Linked DNA regions of Drosophila melanogaster. The protein of the gene in region 1 interacts with the protein of each later gene in a pairwise test. Each region holds a gene or a part of one and is shown in the gene's direction. Other genes may lie near its edges. The genes, in order: DZIP1 and Cep290.

Evidence for each region.
Region 2: the proteins of DZIP1 (region 1) and Cep290 interact in binary tests that used the Drosophila melanogaster proteins (3 or more experiments, as listed by UniProt).

Annotation. Positions count from the first base shown.
Region 1 is NT_033777.3:24,513,342-24,518,628, forward strand, and holds DZIP1 (DZIP1), read left to right. Parts: upstream 1-1,936; 5' UTR 1,937-2,253; coding exon 2,254-2,347; intron 2,348-2,405; coding exon 2,406-3,190; intron 3,191-3,248; coding exon 3,249-3,979; intron 3,980-4,034; coding exon 4,035-4,191; intron 4,192-4,249; coding exon 4,250-4,696; 3' UTR 4,697-4,787; downstream 4,788-5,287. Other genes in the region: nAChRbeta2 (nicotinic acetylcholine receptor beta2), read right to left, coding at 354-481, 539-671, 726-911, 969-1,097, 1,153-1,346, 1,572-1,629. UniProt on the Drosophila melanogaster protein: Component of the DZIP1-Fam92-Cby complex which promotes ciliogenesis in sensory neurons and spermatocytes by acting downstream of Cep290 to initiate early ciliary membrane formation and thus transition zone (TZ) assembly.
Region 2 is NT_037436.4:836,462-854,264, forward strand, and holds Cep290 (centrosomal protein 290kDa), read left to right. Parts: upstream 1-7,464; 5' UTR 7,465-7,904; coding exon 7,905-8,222; intron 8,223-8,279; coding exon 8,280-8,453; intron 8,454-8,506; coding exon 8,507-8,914; intron 8,915-8,979; coding exon 8,980-9,805; intron 9,806-9,864; coding exon 9,865-10,799; intron 10,800-10,857; coding exon 10,858-10,990; intron 10,991-11,052; coding exon 11,053-11,206; intron 11,207-11,263; coding exon 11,264-11,950; intron 11,951-12,014; coding exon 12,015-12,674; intron 12,675-12,727; coding exon 12,728-12,860; intron 12,861-12,918; coding exon 12,919-13,907; intron 13,908-13,972; coding exon 13,973-14,300; intron 14,301-14,363; coding exon 14,364-14,555; 3' UTR 14,556-14,619; downstream 14,620-17,803. Other genes in the region: CG42554 (uncharacterized protein), read left to right, coding at 1-92; CG13901 (uncharacterized protein), read right to left, coding at 322-990; CG13887 (uncharacterized protein), read left to right, coding at 1,660-2,163, 2,789-2,971; JMJD5 (jumonji domain containing 5), read right to left, coding at 3,597-4,529, 4,581-4,853; Gr61a (gustatory receptor 61a), read left to right, coding at 5,257-5,401, 5,462-5,653, 5,703-5,897, 5,950-6,116, 6,173-6,295, 6,353-6,507, 6,559-6,811, 6,870-6,950; Dci (Dodecenoyl-CoA delta-isomerase), read left to right, coding at 14,981-15,253, 15,313-15,432, 15,492-15,887; dpr20 (defective proboscis extension response 20), read right to left, coding at 16,820-16,944, 17,008-17,144, 17,209-17,386, 17,445-17,682. UniProt on the Drosophila melanogaster protein: Essential for ciliogenesis in sensory neurons and spermatocytes.

The DNA of each region.
Region 1 (5,287 bases):
GATTGGGGAGTGATAGTTAAAGTAATTGAAAGGAGTTCGATTTGTGCATATGAAAAAGATAGCTCATCTAAGGTATAGGTTCATTGTAGAGTCAATGTTTTTGAGTGTTTTAAGTTATAGGGAGTACACTTAAGTGAATTTGCATTTGAAATTACTTCACAAAATTATTTTAAAAATATAAATTTAATAAAAATAAAGAAAGCATATGTACAAAAGCTATTTTTCAGTTTTCTAAGCTATAGGAAATCTAATTCTACGTGTTAAAATTAACAAAAACATGCTACGTGCCACAAAAAAGAAGGTATCACTCTCAGATTTTTGATCATTGAATTTGGAGGATCCATCTTTGTTACCTTTTCGCCCGAATCGCTGGGCAAATAAAAGACCAACACCGTGAGGAATGTTAAAGCCACACATGGCACAATCAAATTAACGGTATAGAACAAGGTCTTACGCCGCATGGTCAACTTAAATGTGATATCTAAAAAGAGAAGATACTCAACTGAAATGCAATGATGCAAAACAAATAACATCGTACCTGAAAAGGGTTCCAGTGTATCGGGGTAATACTCCTCATTTTTGGTAGCCGGCACTTCAAGTATGTCCCATTCCACAGACAAATAAAATTCCGTGAGATCGATGCCAACTTGCACTAGGTTACTGCCAGGAATCTGAAAAAAGATTGGGTTATTTATTGTAGAAGTTAAATTATTTAGATACCTAACCTGATCCAAATGCTTCAGATCCACTTGGGCACCATTGTAGGTCCATGAACCGAATTTCATGAAGCAAATTTGTTCGTCGTACGGAAAGTATTCGACATTCATCTCACAGGATGACTTGTATATAGCAGGTGGCTCCCAAAAGACTTCTCCCGTATACTTCAGAGTGGCTTTCGTCATCAGAGTTACCTAATAATATATATTTCAGTTAACTATGAACACATTATTGAGAACATCGAAGCTAACTTCATAGTTGCCATCCCAGTTGTTGTACAACACAATGTCCGGTACCCAAATGTGCTCAGATGGCACATACAGCTGTTCAACTCCGCCGTATTCCTCTGGATCCCATCGCAACTTGTAGTCGAACCAGCGCTTTAATAAAATCCATTAATAATAGATAATAACAGTATATGGCAGTGATAACTACCTGCTTCACCCACAGATTGGTGGTCATCACCTGATTCTTCAGATTGACCTCAATCAGCTGAGACAATTTCAGACCTAACCAAACCGTCAGGGTCTCCGTGTTGTTCACAACGGGCCTAATCAATCGATTGTAGTTGCTCAACAAATCATCATAGAGACGTTTGGTGTCCGGATTTGCCTCAAAACTTATTGGAGCTAGGAAAGTGGTGGTAATTCAGGGGAAAAACAGAGAAAAATGCCAAATTAAATTCCCAAACAAATGGAAAATTTCCCAAAACAAATTGCTGCGCAGACGCCGCTCTCTTGCTCTCTTGTGGGCGCAGCTTCCTGACATCTGTCAAATACTTGGGATACAGCATCAGGGTATCGGAATTTTCACAGGATTTTTCTCGGACTGACGCACAAGTTTTCGCAGCTTACCCGTGGAATTCGCCAACGGAACAAGTAGGAAAACACACAACAAACTCCAATGCCACATTTTGTTGCTGTTTTCTCTAGCTTTTTGTGCTACTTATTGCTTATAATTGAAGGTTTTTAACTAAACTTAACACATTTTGCTAGGAGTTTCCGTTTAATACAACCTCACGGTTGGAGAGTCCAATCGCAACTGAGTTGAGCCTTTTGACAGATGCTTCAACGGAGATGCTCGATAGCTCCTAAATGTTTTATCTAAAAGGATCCTGCCATTTATCGTGTCTTTCGCGGTTCTTTTGAATTATTTGTGTTAAAAGATAATAAAATAACATAACAGAATGAACAATAACAAAAGTAATTCTAATCAATACTAACAATATTAAAAACTGTAATCTCTTAATGGCAGTTAGTTTTAAAACCTAATAATAGGAATGAGCATTTTTTACGATATCATGCTTGTAATATGCATTTTCAGAGGCTCAACAACCCTACTTTCAACCTGTCGTCCTGACAACCTAGTTGTAGTTGCTTTGGCAACGTGTAACCAAAAACTAAGAAACACACAAGGGTGGTAAGAAAAGTGGCAGATAAAGTTTGGCAAAGAACGGAAGCAAAACAAAGAAGGCGAGGAAGAAGTAAACAAACTTTCGATTTTTTTTGCAGTCCTGGGTGATTCAGATTCAGAGAAATGGGATTCAAGGGCAAATATCCGCAGATGGTCCGTGAAACGGGCTTTAAACTGAGACAGTATCGCGATGGTCCACTGGATTGGAGACTTATGGGTATGGAAAATTATGTTAAAAGTAGTTAACACTTAGTTCATAGCGGTATTTCCGGCAGGATCCTATGAAACAGAGCGGATTCTCAGGGAGCAAAACTTCGAGCTGGTGGACAAGGCGTTGACCCACCTTTCTGAGGCTCCACTGGGCACAGTGCTGGAAACTCACATTCTGGACAGTGGCATTGCCAAGTACTTTGTGATGTCTCAGTATGCCATACAGTATTTGATGTGCTGTCGCACTTACCTGGACGAATGTGTCACAGATCTAAAGGAAGCGCATACGACGGCCCAGGAGGAGATAGCTACGCTGCGAAAGTCCCTGAGTGAGTCAAACAACGAAGTGGTGCAGCTGCACAAGAGAATCACCCAGATCGAGGCCATTCGCGAGGTGGTATACCCCTGTCATCTGTGCACTAAGAACTTCATCAGCAACGAGGCCTTGAATGTGCACATTGGTCGGAAGCATCGTGTGGCCTCACCGCCAAGTCTGACATCCGCCACCGGGAAGGAGAAGGATCGGGATAAGGCCACCGATGTGCACCTGATAAACACCATCAAAATGGAGCTGGAGATCAAGCAGCTAAAGGAGCGCCTGAATGCCGCCGAGCGGAATATTAAGGAGCGGAGCACGGGATCGAAGCGGGTAAGTCCGCGCCAGGAGCAGCGCCACGTGGGCATACAGAGCAATCTGGCGGAGCCAAAGGAGAAGGACGAGGACAGCGGAGAGGCCAGGCAAAGCGAGGCCAGCGAACGGAAGGAGCAACTCACAGGATTGGCGGAGCGACTGAGCAACTTTGAGGAGTGGCAAACGCAGCTCAAGCAGAGCAACGAACAGTTTATACAGGTAGAATCAAGTAATCCTTACTCCTGTGGAAGTACCATTACAATTTATATCCTTTCAGGACATTAACAAGAGGCTGGAGGGCCTGAGCCACGCACTCGAGCAGAGTAAACAGGCATCCGCCAGCACGCCTCCGCTGGAAGATCGGGTGGCCACGCCGTGTCTGGAGGATCTGGAGCGCATACTCACTGAGAAGGTGGCAGAGATTGGAAAGGTCAGCGCACACAGGCTGGAAGAGGTGGTCTATCACCTTGAGGAGGGCTACAAGGAGAAGCTAGGGGCACTGGAGCGAGAGCTCAAGCAGCTGAGTGTTCAAAAGGTGCAGCCAGAGCCTGTGCAGACTGTGCCAGTTGCCTCGAAAATACCCAAGCCGGTGGTTCGCAAGGAGGAAACCAACATTGATCGGATTCGCAAGCAGGTGGAGAGCGAGTTCCTCAAACAGAAACATGACGATGACACCTATTCCATTGAGGAGGCGCCACGAAAAGGTTCGGAGAAACCATTCCCACAGCTGGTGACCCAAGTTCAAGTGGTGGAAAAGGAGCAGCCAAGTGCTGGAAGTTCGGACAGCAATCCGACTTATACGAAATCTCCAAGGGAACCTGCTCCTAATAAGCAGGAAACGAAAGAAGCCACGGACGTAAGCGATAGTCTCAGCCAAGAAGAGACGGAGAACGAAGAGGAGCGCAGCCTGACAGAGGAGGAGGGGACCGATGTTCCCACCTCCGGGTCGGAAGCAGCACGAGAGGATCCAACGCCAAAAACAATCAAGCCTTCTGGAAGAATCATCAAGTGAGTGTTTCGATGTTAAGCTTTCTTAGAGTAATAATAATCCACATGTTTTAAGGAGCCCTCAAAAACCACTTACTCGCAAGGATGCCCGGAAGATGGTCAACCGGAAGTTGATGTCTCACGGCTTCGATATGAAGTCCAAAGGTATTTCGCATAACTCTTTGAAGAGAGTGAACTCCGAGCTGACAGAGCACCGCAACAAACTGAAACTGGTAAGCCTATAACTGCCAAAAACTAATGAACTTTTGACAATTCTGGAATACCCTTTAGCAACATCCACATTTTTACGCCACTCGAAATCGCATCCGCAAGTTTGTCGAAAAACTGTGCTCCGCCAAGTTCTCGGAACGCGCGGAAATGTTGCTGAAGCACAAGAGTCCACTCAAGCCAATGGAGGTTCCAGGCAAAGGGATCCCGAGGTCTGCGATCTCTGAAAAGTCTGAAGAGGATATAGCCAGCTCTCAAGGCGAAGAGCAGACGGATGAGCAAACGGATAGCAGCGAACAGCAAACTCGAAGCCCCAGTCCTCAAAGACTAGTTAGTCGCGATTTCAAGGCTCGTCTGGAGGAGATCCTGGTCAAGCCGGCGGCCACTATTCGAGGAGCTTCCAAGTCGTCCCTGAGTTCGAGGCCAGTTCCGCTGCCCAGGAAGCGGGTGATGTTCAACACCACGGAGGACGGGAAGAGCTTCAATGACAGCGATGATAACCTAAAATGAGTCAATAAAGATGATATTATAATACTTTGGGTATAAATGTCAACGATACGTTTAATAGCCAATATATCATAAGATAATTATATTCCTTTATGAGTACCTATCACCTGTTCAATGTACCGTACTTAACTAAAAAATATTGTTTTTTAAATGAATTTGCATATTCCGGTCACACTACCTTTTACCGATAGCTGCGCGCCGTGCAATGGATAGGCAATCGATAGGCAATCGACTCGCGCTGTAAACAATCGACGTCACTAACCAACGTAGATGAAAATTTTTTAGTACGTCGCGAGTAAAACGTGCATTAAATGCAATAAAAGGGCAGCTGGCTAAGGATCGGAACGATTGAAGTCAGCCAACCTCAGAGGGGTGAGCAACCGAGGCAGTGAATCCGCGAATCCGTGCATCCAGCTGACCAAAGGGCGAGATTAGCCCAGCACCGAGTTTCCATCCGCACACGGACACGGCGCACACACACACAGGCACACGCAGCCCGTGCCCATCGATGAAATAACATACATAACGAACGTATACCGAAAATACACGGGTTACGGGAAATAGCAGTTGCTGCAATCGGCGGATAAGCGAACT
Region 2 (17,803 bases), on another chromosome or scaffold:
AGTTGCCCTCCTTCGATTACAGCCTGTTCACCAGCTCCTCGGCTCCTTCGTTGGCCAGCTATGCCGGCATGGCTGAGAGCTTCCAGAAATAGGCCTGGTTAAGATCCATTTGTAAAACTTCAACTAATTTGAAAGATCTCGTGGTAATGCAGTGCCCGCTGAGTGGTGATTAGGATTTAATTTTAGGCACGTTCTTCATTTCAACGTTTTGTGCAGTTCCCTTTGTGAAGTGTATTTGGGAATTCTCTAAATAAATTAAATTAGGTTAATTCACAATAATAATAATAATAATAATACTTTGTGTATTACAATCTAAGTCGTTTATTTGGCCATCAGACCCTTCAGCAGATCATCCATGTCGGTTTCGGTGTCGACATTCTTGAGCAGAAGCAGCACCTGTGCCTCCATCTCGCAGAGGATATCTGGTTTCTGGTAGGTAATGATCAGCGTGTTGAACTGGTGGTGGACAGAGAGGCTCTCCTGCGCGGGCTTGACCCCACAGCGGTCCAGTTCCGGGACCGGGATGACCTTGTAGTACTTCTTGTTCGAGGTGCGCACGACTATGGCACGCTTCTCGGGATCGGCGGTTACGCTGTATGTGTCCAGGGAGTAGGGCATGTTGCGGATGCGCCACTCAATGTTCTTCTTGGTGATCCGCTTGGTCAGCAGTGGCGCGGTGTTGCTCTCCCGCAGGGTGAAATCTCCGCCGGCCAGGGAGTCCGTTTCCTCGCCAGATCCTGGTGGCTTGTTGCCCGACCAGTTTAACTGACGCGGCTCATCGCCCAGCTCGATTTCCCACTCCGACTCGCCCATGATCTTGTTGCTCTTCGATTTCCAGGCCCGCCGCTGCACGATTCCCGTGTCCATGTTGTACTCCTCGGCCATTTGCCTGCCGTCCGGGAATTTGTAGAGCACCTTGCGGGCGCGGCCACTTATCATGGAGTTCTTCTCCGCCGCCTGCAGGTAGTTTAGCCAGTTCTGGTAGGACATCTCTGGGGATTGATGGGATTACCTAGGCACACGTCTCCGCCGGAGATTCGAATATAACAACTGAACGGGGCAGAAAATTTGATCGATGGCGCAAAGTTGAAAATTTGTTGAGAAGCACATTGCGATGGAAACCTGGCAACCCAGCTGCCAGCTTGTTTACATCGCAAGCCGGGTTACCAAGGCACTTTAAAGCATTACATACAATACCTTATGATCGATTTGTCTTGTAATATTTGGAGGTAATGGTTAATTTTAATGCAAAATACGTACTAATTCTTGCCATTTTTTTTACTTACTAATAAAATGATTTTGAAATTCGAATATTTTCCATGAATTCAGCTTTTTTCTGGCTACCCAATTTACAGTTGATTCCAGCGCGCGAGTTGGCAGCCCCGTGCGTACACAAAAAAACAGAGTTGACGTGGCCGGCGCAGTGACTACATAAAATATACGCATATTTCATCACGGCAGCGATTTAATTATTGCTATTTAAAGTAAGCAGCCAGTCACTCCGGCCGTAGTTTATAAATAGCCACTAGACCGTCCGTCCCGAATCCGTAGACTTAGCAGCTAATTTGGACGCATTTCTGCTTACAGGCGGCAGTCGAAAAAAGCGAAAATCCAAGAAGCGAAAATCGAACGAAAAAGGGAATTAATAAAACATTAAAAATGAGTTTGGTGTGGACTTTGATCGCCGGATTTCTCTATGCGGAAATCGCACTGGTCCTTCTGCTGGTGCTGCCGGTGCTCACTCCTTACCGCTGGAACCGGTTCTTCAAGTCCAAATTCCTATCGATGTTGGGACAACAGGCGCACATATATTTCCTGCTGATCATGGGAATTCTGGTCATTTTCCTCCTGGAGGCCATTCGCGAGATGCGCAAGTACTCCGGCTTGCAGCAGTCTAACGAGGTCCACTTGAACGTGGAGATGCAGCACAGCATGAAGCTGTTCCGTGCCCAGCGGAACTTCTACATCTCTGGATTCGCCATTTTCCTTGCCCTGGTCATCCGGCGACTGGTAAACTTGATCTGCACCCAGGCCAATCTCATGGCCCAGAGCGAGGCTTCCTTCAAGCAGGCACAGAGCGCCACTGCAGCCGCACGTTCCTTGCTGGAGAACAAGAACACCGAGAAGGCCAAGGAAGCCGGCGAGGATACCACTCTCATCGAGGTGAGTCCACGTCCCAAACCCCTGCATCCGATCCCCAGGAATGGCATGTCTAGAGAGCTAACACCTAAGACTTTGGAGTTCAATTGGCTACTACCAGCTGTAAAGATATGGCAATGCATATAGAAGGTGTGGTCAAAATATGGCGAGATAATGTCTTTAGCCGACTAAATCTATAAAATCTATACTTCATTCCACTTTCTGGTACATTTTCTCAATTGGTTTTGAATATAAGATACGAAAAGGCTTTAAATGTAGTCTATTAACGATATAGAACTTTAAATACCAGTATATATCATGATTAAAATCTTAAACGTAAACTTAAATCAGTTTGAAGACCGAGTGAATTTGTCATAGGCTTAGTGCTTTTGTTTTGACCGCAGCTAAACGTTTTGAAACCACACCCAAACACATATGTTGGGCCACGATAAACAGAAGCCACCACTCGAAAGTTTAAACCTCTTGTTAACTCTTTAAACAGCTGTCAAGACTGCGGAGACGTGTGCAAGGACTCACCGCCCGAGTGTCCTAAGTATCCCCACCTAGAGCACCCACCTTATATCCATTCCCAAACACCCAAAACGAACAAAAATCCAATCGAAACTCAAACGAAATCCGAATTTTGCAGCTCAACAAGCTGCGCGAGCGCGTCCAGGAGCTAACCTCCGACTTGAATCGCGAAAAGAAGGACAAGGAGGCGGTTAAGTCGCAGGCGGAGAGCATCAACCGCGAGTACGACCGACTCACCGAGGAGTACAGCAAGCTGCAGAAGAAGATAACCATCGGCGGAGGCGGAAACAAGGATGATTAAACTCACTGGAGCCAAGTCCAACATTTAAATAACGATAAGACTTATAAGCATGGCGGTGGGGCAGCGAAAGCAGGCACATTTAAAAGATTATAACGATTTCAAATCGATAGAAAGCACACACATCTTATTGTTAATCCTCATAGATACAACTACATATACCATTTGATAATGATAATGGGGTATATTGATAATGGTCCCTCAACTCAATGTTCGTTTCGTCCGAAGTTTTGTATTTAATTCGTATGTGTTAAGTTTTGTTTGCCACAGTAACACACCCAAAAAGCGTCGTGGCTATTAAAAGAACAACCAAAAAGTACCCATCCAGTTGTGATCGATTCGATGATTCATCTGTTGGCGCGGATAGTCCACATCATGTCTGATAGTACACGGCAATGACGTCAGACGTCGCAACCTGTTTGCATACTTGGAGCTTAGAAATCGGAGGCGTTACATTATCGGTGTGCGAAAAGGGCATCGAATATGTTTCCTTGATAATTACCCAGAAATGCTAATCAAATTCGCATATTTAGTGATCTATCGTGGTTTTGCAGTGCATACTTTAATCTTAACTTGAACAGAGATCATCCTACATAAATTTGCTGTTCAATAAACTGCATTAAAATGCTTACTCCCACCAGAAGCTTACAGAGAAGCTAGGAGCTTCAGATCTCACATAGTGCCACCATTTGGGTGGCATGTACAAACAGTCACCAGGTTGCAGGAGCAGCTGGTAGAACTTCACCTTGGCTACCAAGGGATATGTTTCAGGATCCAGTTGAGCAGCATCTATTCGCGCTGTATTGGCCAAAAACTCACTGTCGTGGGGATACAGATTGTCTGTGTCTGCAGGAGCAGCTAGGATGATCCTCTTCGAACCGAATACCTGGCACAGCAAGTTGTGCTTGGGATCGTAGTGCATGGGAGATACGGTTCCAGCTGGTCCCAGCCAGGCTTTGATGTCCACAGCTCCTGGGGTATCTTCGTTGCTGATGGTGCAGTAGTCGGGAATGGATATATCCTCTTTGAGGGCTGGTATCTGGGCGAAGAGCTCGTGCTGAGCGAGATACTCGATATTTTGGCCAGCCTTGCTTGGTTCCTTTCCGAATTGTCTGCTCAGGAAGTCGCGGATCTTCACCAGCTGCTGGGACCATTCATCGCTGGCATAGTTGGAACCTATTTCAATGGGCACCGTGCGATTCCCGGCCACTTGGAGAAGGTAATTGAGATCCAGCCATTTGTGCAGTGCAGGCCAATGCTGGATGGTGTTGAGCAGGAGTGTGGGTTGTCCTGCCTCAAAGCACTTTGTCTGGAACTCTTCTAGACTGGGAGCGTCCAGTTGGGGTATATCACAGTTGGAGGTTACTCGGGTTAATGGCTCTAGAGTTGGAAGTGGTGCGGAATTCAGTGCTACTGCTCCATCCTTGTCGAGATAATCCATTAGGGCGACTTTCAGTTCACTCCAATCCTCCATGCAACCCAAAAGTTGAGCCTCATCGAGGATCTCACTGCACGCATCCTTCTGGGCGGGACTAGTGCTCTCCAAGAGAAGGAAAAAAATCTAAAATGTATATTTGTAGTTTGTATGGCTTAGTTAGCATCTAAATCCCACCTTGAAGCAACAGGCTATGGCGTATATCTTCCTCGTGACCAAGGGAACCTGGCTGAAGTGCCCTGTGTGAATGCGTTCCCAGTTCCTGTCCACCAGCGCACCTACCAGATATCCGGTTTCCTCCGCCCCGGAATCTCCGCCAGACCTCAAGTTCGCCAGGTGATCCGCGGCTCTTTTGAGTATGTAGCGCGCCTCGACTTCACCACGGACCACATTTTCCAGATCCACCCAGCGGGGCAGCAGCTGCGTCAGCTCCAGGAACTCACTATCCATAGAATGTTAAACAACTATTATTTGTTTACCTTTTAGCTTACATTCAGCGTTGCCAGAGTTCATTTGTAAGCATTAAATATTTCGATTAATCGATGTTTTAAAATATATTTAAAAATTGATGAGTTGTTCAGTACTTCAAACATGTATTGCTTAAGGATGCCTTTAGTAAATTATAAATAGTAGCTCCGTGGGTCCTTCCATGGTGAAGATACATTTTGCACTGGCACGAAATGGAAAAACGATTTCCATGGGCGGAGTTATGACCGCCGTTTTGGACGCCGAATGGCATTGTGTGCCCCAAGTGCCACTAATTACGGGTTTTAGACTAAGCTGCAGCTTGTAAACAACAATCATGAGACAAGAACCCGGATAGTGGAATTGCTGACGGTCAGAGCTGAGGAGCATGTCGAGGACTTCGGATGACATCCGGAAGCACCTGAAAGTGCGGCGCCAGAAGCAGAGGGCCATTTTGGCCATGAGATGGCGCTGTGCCCAGGGAGGATTGGAGTTCGAGCAGCTGGACACCTTCTACGGAGCCATCAGGCCATGTAAGACCACTTTTCCAAACCACTTTCATATGTGTCTAAACATATTACAATGGACAATAGATCTGTGTGTGGCGCAGTTCTTCGGCATTATGCCTTTGTCGAATATCCGGAGTCGCGATCCCCAGGATGTGAAGTTCAAGGTAAGGAGCATTGGCCTGGCAGTCACCGGTCTCTTCCTTTTGCTCGGTGGCATGAAGACCTTGGTCGGTGCCAATATTCTCTTCACAGAGGGTCTGAATGCCAAGAATATCGGTGAGTTTTAGATGGTATGGTAGTGTGATCCCAACTGAAAGCTCAATAGTGGGTTTGGTTTTCCTTATCGTGGGCATGGTCAACTGGCTAAACTTCGTGGGCTTTGCTCGCTCCTGGTCGCACATAATGCTGCCCTGGAGTTCGGTGGACATTCTGATGCTCTTTCCGCCCTACAAACGTGGCAAGCGAAGCCTTCGGTCAAAGGTCAACGTCCTTGCTCTGAGTGTGGTCGTCCTGGCAGTAGGTGAGATTTCTGGGTTATCCTTTCAATGGTTTCCAGAAGAACTTTCTTTCAGGCGACCACATGCTGTACTACGCCTCTGGCTACTGCAGCTATAGCATGCACATCCTGCAGTGCCACACAAACCACTCGCGTATTACCTTTGGACTTTATTTGGAGAAGGAGTTCTCCGACATCATGTTCATCATGCCATTCAATATATTTTCCATGTGCTATGGATTTGTAAGTTAACTATATATATTTTAGTTAGTTAGTTTGAATAATGCTCTCTTTTTTAGTGGCTAAATGGAGCCTTCACCTTTCTGTGGAACTTCATGGACATCTTTATTGTGATGACCAGTATTGGACTGGCGCAAAGGTTTCAACAGTTTGCCGCTCGAGTTGGCGCACTGGAGGGTCGTGTAAAATAATCCAAACTATTTCAATGTATTTCTCTTTTAAATCCCCATCCCATTTAGCATGTTCCCGAAGCCTTGTGGTACGACATTCGGAGGGATCACATTCGCCTTTGCGAGCTGGCCAGTTTGGTGGAGGCCAGCATGTCGAATATAGTGTTCGTATCCTGCGCTAACAATGTGTATGTGATCTGCAACCAGGCGTTGGCTATTTTCACGTGAGTCATCTGTTTGTAGCTACCCCCTAGTCTCATTTCAAATCTTTTTAGCAAACTGCGGCATCCCATAAACTACGTTTACTTCTGGTACTCGCTGATCTTCCTGCTGGCCAGGACGAGTCTGGTTTTCATGACTGCCTCCAAGATCCACGATGCCTCGCTTCTGCCCCTGAGGTCCTTGTACTTGGTGCCCAGCGATGGCTGGACGCAGGAGGTGCAGAGATTTGCCGACCAGCTGACCAGCGAGTTTGTCGGATTGTCTGGATATCGTCTCTTCTGCTTGACAAGAAAGAGTCTCTTCGGAGTGGGTAAACTTCACGAGTCTTCACGATTCCCATACTGATCCCAGCCATCCTCTCCAGATGCTAGCCACCCTGGTGACCTACGAACTTATGCTGCTGCAAATAGATGCTAAGAGCCACAAGGGACTGCGGTGCGCGTAACTAAATGAGTGAACTTTAGTCCAGTTTAACTTAACTGAATGTATAATAAAATAGTCAGATAATCAGATTTGAAAAAGGGTAGATTCCTGCGAGGAAAAGTCAGTTAGCAGCTCATGTGTGAGTTCAGCCAACCCGACTCGGGCGGTTATTAAATGGCCAAAAGGCTTCCAGGATAATTGGCCATTCCGAGTGTCATTTCAATTTCAATTTTTGGCCAGCTGTCATTCAGCGAGGGCGAATCCACAAATGGGAGGGCAACCAAAGTCGCTTGCCATTAGTTTCAATTATTGCTACACATGTAGGCAAACGTAATTTTGAAGGCAACTCGATGAGTTTTGAAAGGAGAAAGGAGTTGGAGTGCACTGAAAAATATGTTCGGAAGCTAAAGTTCTAAATAATAATAATCTTATCTTTACTGCTTACTTCTAAACCCTTTCAAAAGCCACTTGGTGTGCTCTGAACTAAATACCATTTTTTTTTCGAGTGTAAGAAAAGTTAACAGAAACACGAGAAGGCGGCGGAAAAGTCGCTTCGAACAGAAATGGCTTTTCAATTTCAAAACTCGGCCTTTGACACTTTGCCAATTAACACTTTCCTGGTTACCGATTGCCATTTTTGTTTGTGGTGGGCCACCGGCTGCTCCCACCGCCGATCCTTGCCGCTATAGCCGCCGTTGAGGCAATTATCCTGTCAGGAAACTTTCTACGCAGCCGAAGCAGCTAGCAAAACAGAACGCCAGCAAAAACAAAGGTCCTGCAGGTTGGTCACTTGAAAGGAGCGCGCCGGCACCCTCGTTTCCGGAAAAGCAACCCCCGAATGGGTTTTCAGTCGTAGTTTGTTTTGGGCCAAGTGTCATGGCAACCGGAAAAACTGGAGAGCTGGTGTGGAAAATCGGGGAATATTTGGACGCAGAACGTGAGTAACCGCCGAGGAGCGAGGCCATGAGCCACCAGGATGAGCATGGACATACCAGAGACCGTATCCCTGCGCAAGTTCCGCGACTTTTCGGCGCGCCAGAAGCAGGAGCTCTACGAAACGCTCCTCGAACTGGCCGAGTCCATCGATGAGCTGCCTAAGAAGTCGCTGAGGAAAACCCTGGAACTCACCCTGGCCGTTTTGGAGTACAAGGGCGAGCAGGTACAGCAGCTGCAGGAATCAGCAGCCGGAGGACTCTCCTCCGACCGCCGCCTGCAGGATGAGAATGAGAAGCTGAAGCGAATGCTCCAGAAGTTGGAGGACGAACGCGATGGCCTGAAGAGCAAAGCCAAGGAGGTGAGCAGTAGATCATGTAAAGTACCCAAGCTCAAGGATACGCTTTTTTCTCACTAGTTGGGGGAGGAAATCCGTCAGTTGGAGCTGCGCCTGCAGGAGGCGGCGCAGCAGGCGGAAATCAGCGACAAGGATTCATCGGATCCCCTGTCCGAGCTGGACAAGCAGGAGCAGCTGCTGCAGAACATCGACTCCAAGAACAAGCACATCAAGCGGCTGCTAAAGGAAATCGAGGTGAGTCATATTATGTTTTGCATTCAGAATATACTATATTCATTCCCTTTCAGACACTGCAAAACCAAAACATAGCTCAATCGAAGACCATAGTGCTCCACGAGCGGGAGCTGCAGACCATCAAGGCGAATCTCGTGCAATTGAGCCAGGACATCACCAAGGTGGAGCAGGAGCGCAAGTCCTTGAAACAAAAGGAGCAGCAGCAGGCGCTGGAAATCACTCGCCTGGAAGGAAATCTAACTTTCCTGGAGGTGGAGCGCGAGAAGCAGGAGGTGGAAATGCGTCAGTTCCTGGACAAATACGAGGCCAAGTCGCTGGGCTGGAGGCAGGCGCTCGACGATCGGGACAAGGAGGTGGAGCGTCTCAAGAAACAACTGGAGGGCAAAAGCATCAGCTCTGGCCAAACCAATTCTTCCAACAGTCAGAGTCAGCAGGAGGAGGAGCACGCCAAACTACGACAGGTAAGGATGAACTGCCGATATATTTTATCTAGATCTTGAGCTCGCTAAATGTTCATCCCTCGTAGCTTTTGGAATCCCGGGAACAACGCATCGAGAAGCTGGAGGAGAAGATCAAGTCAATGGCGGAGGAGATGGTTAGCTCCACGCGTGCGATGAACCAGTTGTGTCAGGAGAAGGAGCGAGCCCACGATCCCGAGCAGCCGCGAGCCTGCTGCCAGATGATCGAGGAGCGCCTGCGGGAAGCCACCGCCCGGTGTCAGCAGCTCTCGGAGATGCTGGAGGCCGCCGAGCAGGACAACGTGCTCAAGTCCCAGCAGGCCCTGCACGCCATTAGTGCCCTGGAGGCCTACAAGCGTGACGAAGATGGCCTCATTCCCGCTCTGCGACGCTGCTCGGGATTGGAACAGAAGGTGGCAGCACGCGACAAGCAGCTGAGGGCCTACATCCAGGAGCTGAACTCCCTGCACGAGGTGGTCCAGGAGAACGAGCTGCTGCGGCGAAAACTTCACATCCCCGACGATGTGGTCATCATGGCCAAGAACGTCCATTCCAAGCAGCGCAACAAGGACAAGCAGATCGAGCGACTGACCCTCAAGCTGAGGACATCCGAGGAGCTGCGTCTGCAATTGAAGTTGGAAAAGAGTGAACTTAGGCGGAAGCTCTTGGAGTTGCAGCAGGACAGTCCGCAGACCTTGAACGAATCGCTGCAGGCGCCCAGCGAAGTGGGTGAAGTGCCTCATAGTGTGCATCTGGAGAATTCGCCGAGACGTGGCCAAGGCGACGGGGCAGCCAGTTCCGAGATGCAGAATCGATACGACGAAGTCCTGGCCGAAAATGAAACACTACGCTCCGGCATGTACGAGATTCTGGAGAAGCTGCGGGAATATGATGGTGAGATAACCATAACATATTTCTTGAATAACTATATGTATTAAACATTATCCATGTAGCCACCTCAGAGCACATAACCATCGATTCCGATCTCTTGCGCCGCCTCATCGAAGCTCTGCCCGGCGGAACGACCACTCCGCAGCGACTCCAGGGTCAGCTCCTAGAGCTGAAGGCCCGAGAGGAGGCACTGCGTCAGCTGCTCGAGCAGCAGAACTACAGTGACTCCGAGACGGGAGAACTGTCCTCTGTGCATAGTCTGTGCGAGGTTCCCGAGATTGCAGAAGAGCATCCTGTCGAGGAGGATGCTGTGCTGAACACAGCCACCAGGCCAAGCTCGCCCACTGAAGCCACGATGGGATTACGCAGACCCACTGTACCAGATCCCGAGGAGAAACCCACGAACGAGGCCCTGGCTGAGCTCTCCATTCTGCGCAAGCACTACGACGAACTTCGTCTTCATATGTCCGCCGATGGCAGTGATCTGATGAATCGCAACCAAGAGCTCCACGATCAAATGATCGCTTTGGAGTTGCAGTTGGAGCAGCAAAGGAATTCCTACTCCTACATGCGCAGGGATTACGATCAACTGCTGACGGAGACCAGAAAGCAGGAACTTCGCTTCATAGATGATAAGGCGTCTCTAGCCAGGCAGTTGGAGCATAGCAAGAGTGAACTATGTGAAGCTAGAGAGGAGTTGGAGCAAGTGAATCGAAGGAATCTCTACACTGCGGAGGAGCAGCAAAAGTTGGAGCACAGGAATGCCATCTTGAGCATGCAACTTGGCCAGGCGATGGAGCAACTGCTGGGCGAGCTGAAGCCCACGGAAATATGCGCTGAGTACGGTATAATCAGGGAGAACTATCAGCTGGATTACATCACAGCCCAGGACTTCGAGGAGCAGCAACAGGAGCTGCTCACTTGGAGGAGCAAGCAGGCGGAGCTGCAGAGGGAGACCAAGCAGCTGGAAGGACTGCTCCATGTGGCCAATGAGCAGGTTGGAGATTCTCCTTGATACCTACCCATGGGAGATCTAATGCCCATCCTCTTTCCAGATTCACTCCCAGCAAAGGCTGCTCAATGAGATCACCGATAACCACATCAATCTGCGTCACCTGGTGGCCGATCTTCAGAGCAGCTCCGACGAGAAGCTAATGCTGGCCAAGGTCCAGAGGGATCTGGATAGTGGTAAGCACAGACTTATTCGAGGAGAAGATCAGTAGCCAGCATGTCTCTCTTTTTTTTTTTAGTGAAAGCCGAGTGCTCCCGCTTGGAAACAGAGCGAGAAAAACTGCAGCTAAAGGCGGACTGCCTGCAAACCCAACTGGAGGCCAGCGAGTTATCCCTGAAACAGACGCAACAGGACTTCCAGCAGGAGCGCACCAATAGCGATATTAAGCACAAGTGAGACCAAGTGGTGGATAATCCCTAGCAGATCTGACTTTCTACCAAATCCCACAGATTCCTCCAGCATTCATTGTTTATGCTCAAAGATAAATATGCCAAATTCACGCCACTGGTCTTCCTTACCAACTTTGTGTTCGCCTACCAAAAGTTCCAGCGTCGCCTGGAGGAGGAGCAAGTGCAGCAGCGACATAGAGATCACACCGCTCTGATTGATGAAGTGACCGCCGTGGTCCAGGCCAAAATTGGTCTCAACGAGGAGAGTTCCCAGCAGTTGGTGAAGCTCATAAAGTCTGAAACACAGACGAGACTCTTGGAACAGCGCTGCGAGATTCTGCAGGCCAAACAGGAGGAGCTCGTTCGGGAATTGGGTGAGTTGAGGATGAGCCAGGCCACCGACACCGAGCACTGGAGCACCATCCAGGCCTTGTTCGGTGAAGGAGAGCCAAGAAGTCAACTCAAGGTGGATGCAGAGACGAATACCGATGCAGTGGCTCCTAATCTGGCCATGAGAAGGGCCGTCCAGTTGATAGACAGGGAGTCATCGCCCATTGGGTCGCCTCTCCGAAAACATCCGCACCTGGATACAGCCACTCAAACGCTGGAGGCGCAAGTTGAGTTCTCGGAGACGGCAGTCCAAACCAATGGCATTCTCAGCCAGCAGAATCAAGCCGTTCAGACAGCGGATGCAGTGGAGGACAATAGGAGAGATTCCCGCGCGGAGCTACAAAAAATGCAAGAAACGTAAGTTCCCCCAAGTAAAAAATGTAAATAACTATTTGCAACTATAAATGGTGATGCCCAACAGTCTGCAGGAAGCCAACCAGCGCATCGAGATCCTTGGCAAGCAGTTGGAGGCTTCCAGATCGGAGAGTCGCGAGTCCGCCAGTCCGCAAGGTGGTGTGGTGGAGAAGACCATACTCTCGTTCCACACCCTGCTCCTGGAGAAGGACCAGTCCATACAAAAGTACCAGGACCTTCTGCAAACCGAGAGGGATCAGAGTCAGCAAGCACTTAGCAAACAGGTGGCTGAAAACGAATCCCTGAGGGCCACGGTTAACAACCTGAACTTCAACATCAAGACGAAGGATGCAGAGATTCAGGGCCTTAAGGAGAAGCTGAGACAGAAACCCGAGGTCCCCGTGGAGCGCAACCCGTCGACGGATTCGAGGTCCAGTTCCAGTTCCGATAGCTCGGTCAACGAGCTGACGGATGAGAAGATCGAGGAGCTCTTCGAAAGCAGCTCAGTGGAGAGACCACCCCAAGAAGAGTTGGAAGTGCCAGTGGAAGCAGGTCCAGAGAACATAGTTACCGAAGAGCCCGAAGGTGAGGAGGAGAAGCAGGACACCGAGGAGCTGAAGGAAGTGCCGACGCTGCACAAGCAAATCAAGGATCTCAAGGACAAGCTGGAGTACAGCGAAAGGAGCCTCAAGACGAGGGAAGAGGAAGTGGATATACTAAAGGAGAAGTAAGTTGTAAAGTAAGTAGTTGTGCATGATCTTAATCCGTTACATTCGACAGGTTGAAGCTGTGCCAGGAGCGGGAGAAGTCGGTCGAAAGCACCGTGAATCCCGAACTGGATCAGCTACGCATCTTTCTGGATGAGAAGGACAAGCACATCAAGGATCTGATGGATACACTCAAGAACTTCCACGTAATGCCCAGCAATACCATCATATTCATCTCTACTATTAAAAGTTTTAAACATGCAGGACGACCAGCAGCGCTACATCAAAGACACCTCGAACTTCTCGGAGGACCAGATAGCCAAGCTGGCTGCCGATCTCAACCGCACCGAGGCCACCAACAAGATCTATCACACCCAAATGGAGGCACTTCGCCGCCAGCTGGCCAACGTCACCCAGCGCGAAAAGCAGGCCAGGGATCTCAGCCAGTCGCTGCGCCAGCAGCTACTCAAACGCCCTGTGGTCTCCATTAAAACGGAACTGAATGCCCGGGTTAAGAACGAGAACCAGCTGAAGAGAATCCAGCAGCTGGAATTGGACTTGGACGAGGCACGTGGCCAGCTGCAGCGACAGCAGACGCTCCTGGAGGCCAAGCGCACGAGGAGTGCCAATGAGGTGCAGCTCTGGGAGAAGCAGAAGCGGTACCAACAGCAGGCGGAGAAGACCAAGGCCCGGCTGGAGGAGACCGAGCTGGCGCTGGAGAAGACCCGTGCCCTTCTCCAGGCAGCGCGCACCACAATAGCGCGCTTGGAAAAGGACAAGCAAATCCTGGAGTCCAAGCTGGGCAGGAACGGTCCGCCGAGCAACAGCTCCGGTGGCAATAACCTCAAGTGCTGCCGCACTCCATCCTGTCCGAATCTCCAGCACGTGGGTGTCAGCAAGTTCGCTCCATCGCCTTCGGAGAGTCCGGAGACCTACACGGGTCCCAGCAGCGAGTGCAGCTCTCCGGCGCATCATCACACCCAGATCTTTGACCAGAGTCAGTTGGACCTTATTGAGGCGCTCAAGTCGCGCATTGAGCTGCAGCAGCGCAAGATCATCGCCATGGAACTGGAGGGCAGGGGCAGCAATGCCCTGACCACGGAGCTGGAAAAATTGCAAGAGCGCTGCCAGGCCATCGAGGCGCAGAACATCCGACTGGAGGCCAGGAACCTTCAGCTGCAGCTCGACTCGGATCTCTTGAGGCAGGGCGACAGCAGCGATCGGCTGCAGAAGCGAATCAAGCACTTGGAGGAGTGAGTAGAGAGCGGCAGTTTCCACGCGTGTGAATCGAGACTTATGCACCACCCCCATTTTTCAGCTACATCATGGCCCTGAAGGAGGAGATGGCTCGCAACGAATCCCGTCGAGAGTTGGGCAGTGGCCTCAAGGTGAGCACAAATCAGGGCCAATCGGCGGAGCAGACGATCCTCTCGCTGCGCAATCTCGTGGAGAAGTTGCGATCGGAGAACAAGTTCCTGAAGGATGGTCGACGATCCACGGAGTCGCGCAGCTCCATGGACTCCACGCCTGCAGAGGCGGCACGTCTGCAGCAGCAGCATGCAGAGGCGCTGGAGAAAATCAGTGCTCTGCAGCAGGAGTTGCAGAAGCGAACCACCAAGTGCAGCCAATGCGGGGGACGCAGCAAGGTAGGTACCGCTCGTAATAATACACCTTCGGCAATAATTGTGTTTGAAATTTAAAAAAAAAAGGACGCTGCCAACGAGGAGCTCAAGTTCATCAAGGAGCAGTTGGTGAAAAAGACGCAGCTGCTGCAGAAGGCAAAAGTACTTCTGACCCGTGCTGCCGCCAAGGAAAAAGTCCTGAGGGAACAGCTGGCCTTGTGGAAACGCAAGTGCTCCGAACTGCAAAATGTGCCCGTGATCGATGAAATCAGCGAGTAACCAGTATTGATCATAAGATGAATGTTGTACAGGAAAAAAGAGGAATAAAACTAAAGTTTTTTTCACTGCTGCTGTTTTGAATTTGGCGCCCAATGCAGAGTTGCCAGATCGAGGTGGGCTAAAATCGTTGGGGATGTGAAAGTTACGGGATTCCCCCGAATTTTGTTTTACAGGATATTTAAATTTATTTAATAGGATATTTAAACCATGAAATAATGTATCTTTTGCCAGATTAAGAAAACACTAAGCCATTTGCCAGTCACAGTGAACAGTTCACCAACTATCGCTTATCAACTGTATGGCTTGGAATACCCCTGATGCCCACTAATCGGATGAATTAAACAACAATAGCTACCGGCAATCACAGTAAAATGATCCACTGATTGGACTTTGTCGCTCATTCCGCGCACAGCACTGGCAGCAAGATGACCTACCAAGGATACAAGGAACTGCTTGTGGAGCAGCAGGGCAAGCTGCTCGTGGCCAAGTTCAACAATCCGAAGAAGAAGAACTGCATCAACAGGGTCGCCTACCAGGAGATGACCCGTGTGTTGACCGAGGTCAACGACGATGAGGGCGTAACCATTGTGGTTTTCACCGGCGTGGGTGACATCTTTACGTCCGGCAACGACTTGTCCCAATCCTCCAATACCGATGACATCGACGCCTTCTTCAAGCAGTCCAATGCGACTTTCAAGGTGGCACATCTGTATATCCCATTTCATTTTTTTATAATTTATCCAATCCCTACTTGAAGGCCATGGTTCTGAGCTTCGTCAACTGCAGAAAGATTGTGCTTGCCCTGGTGAACGGACCTGCCATTGGGATTGGAGCCACCATTGTGGGATTGTGCGATGTGGCTTGGTGCTCCGAAACGGTGGGTATTGCCTCAAATTTGCTATGGCAGCATGACTTGACTGATAAATACCATCGCAGACCTACTTCTACACGCCATTCACCAAACTGGGATTGGTGCCAGAGGGCGGTTCCTCCTATATGCTGCCCCTCATCTTGGGGCGCTCAAAGGCGTCGGAAATCCTGCTGCTAAGCGAACCGCTGAGCGCCCAGGAGGCATATCAGTTCAACTTTGTTTCGAGGATCTTCAAGGCCAGCGAATTGGAGTCGGTGATTTGGCCCAAATTGCGTCAGTATTCCGAGCTGCCGACGAACTCCCTTCTGCAGGGGAAACGCCTCGTCAAGGATGGCTTCCTGGAGAATCTCATCAAGGCCAACGAGGCGGAGTGCAAGCAGCTGCTCCAACAGTTCCAGCATCCCGAGTTTGCCCAGGCCATCATAGACTTTGCCAGCCGTAAAAACAAGGCGAAATTATAAATACGGCTTAAGTTTATTACCGTCTCAGTGATTTTGTCCGCCTATTTTAAAACCCAAGAGATATGAATGCTAATTCTTGTGGCACAAACATCAAAGCAAATAGACTTCTTAGCGATTAGATTAGGGACATAATGTGTGCCTTTTGCACCATAACCATAGGTTAATCTCTTGCACTATCTGTGTATGTACATATGTACCAATATATTGCCAAAGTGCTGATTAAAAACAATTGAAGAACGCCACCTACCTGTTTGTGAATGAATCGCACAGCTGTGGTCAAGATAATAGAATGTGTAATATATGAATAAATATATAAATATATTTTAAATTCCATCGATGTTCCCGCCCTTCTGCGAAATTCAAATTGGATTCATGTATAGTTCACTTTATTATTGCGTACATACGAGTATTCGTTTATTAACATATCCTTTGATGCTTCTGCCGCGAGTGTGTATGTATATAATATGTATATGACCGTATTGCACTTTATACTAGTTCAACATTGAGTGAGTAGTTCCCCCAGGAGCTCTGAGATCCTTGCCGCACAAGCCGTGATTATGAACTGGTGGTGACTTAGATTACACTACGCTTTACATTCCTGTATCAACTAGATCTATATAGATCTAGATCTAGGCCAGACCATGAACTCTGACTGTGAGACACTCTGCTAGGGAAATTCGTTGGCCTCTCTCCGGATTTCAAATACACTCGAGCTTAGTCCTTAATCCTAGCTTAATCCTACGCGTGCCTGCTCATGTACAAATTGATGATAGACGTAGAAACATATCTATAATAGCCAGTTAAACTTAGGCTGCGTTTTAAGTTATTTCCAATAACTGCCCCTCCAAATTCAAAAACTTTACAATTAATCAACAAAAAGAGCTACGGGAGAACGATGTTCTCTCAATTTACCTAGTCCTAGTTAAGCTACCTTAGCTAAACTCCCCCCTTAGACTATTTAGCACAAGGAGTGCCATTGCATGCAGCATCACCATATTCCACCACGTGCTGTGCCATCCAACCGCACCACCATGATGCAGTTCGGCGAAGCTTTCGCCTGGAAGAGATTGCTGATATGATATGGGTTCCTACTCTAGATGAATACTCTACACCAACTCACCGTTCAGAATGTGAACCACTATGGTGAAGTTCTGGAACTCACTGATGGAGCATGTGTAGTTGCCGGAATCCGTTTTACTGATCTTCGCTATCGAGAGCGTCGAGTTGGCTCCATCCTCCATCAGTTCGGTTTTGACGCTGCGAGGATACGTAATAAATGAACCTTACTGATGGTGACCCCGACCAAGCTAAATTCACTCACCTCACTCCCCCGCGAGTAACGTCGTAGTTAAGGATGTTGTCCATGTGCTTCCAGAAGACCACGGAACTGGTCATGGCCACGTTTCGCACCACACAGGAGAGCTGTAGCGTGGAATCGATCTCGTAGTACTTCTCCTGCAGCGGATCACCCACCTCGTCCACTATCATCACTTTCGGAGCTGTGTTAAAGCATACTAAATCCCTTTCTTGCTACCCATCAGAGAGTTGGATATTCACCATTAACGTGCAGGTTGATTTGAATGACGCGTGGCGGATGCGTTGAGATCTGGCACTCGTAGATAGCCTCGTCGTCCTTCTTCACATTGGTTATCTTCAGTCGCCAGTTGTTTGGGTACTGGAACTCCATCTTGTAGCGCTTATCACCCGTATACGTGTGCATGCCCACTGTCAGCAGGTCCAGGGCGTTGCCATTGTCCTTGCCCTCGTCCTGCGTGTTGTGCCGCACCCAAGAGACCTGTTTTTAAAGTTAAATAACATACATTTTTATGTTATACCAACTAAAAAGGATTTATCTTTTTGAGACTAAGTAATGAACCTAAATATGGTGACCCCGAAAAATCATTCAATTCGATTCA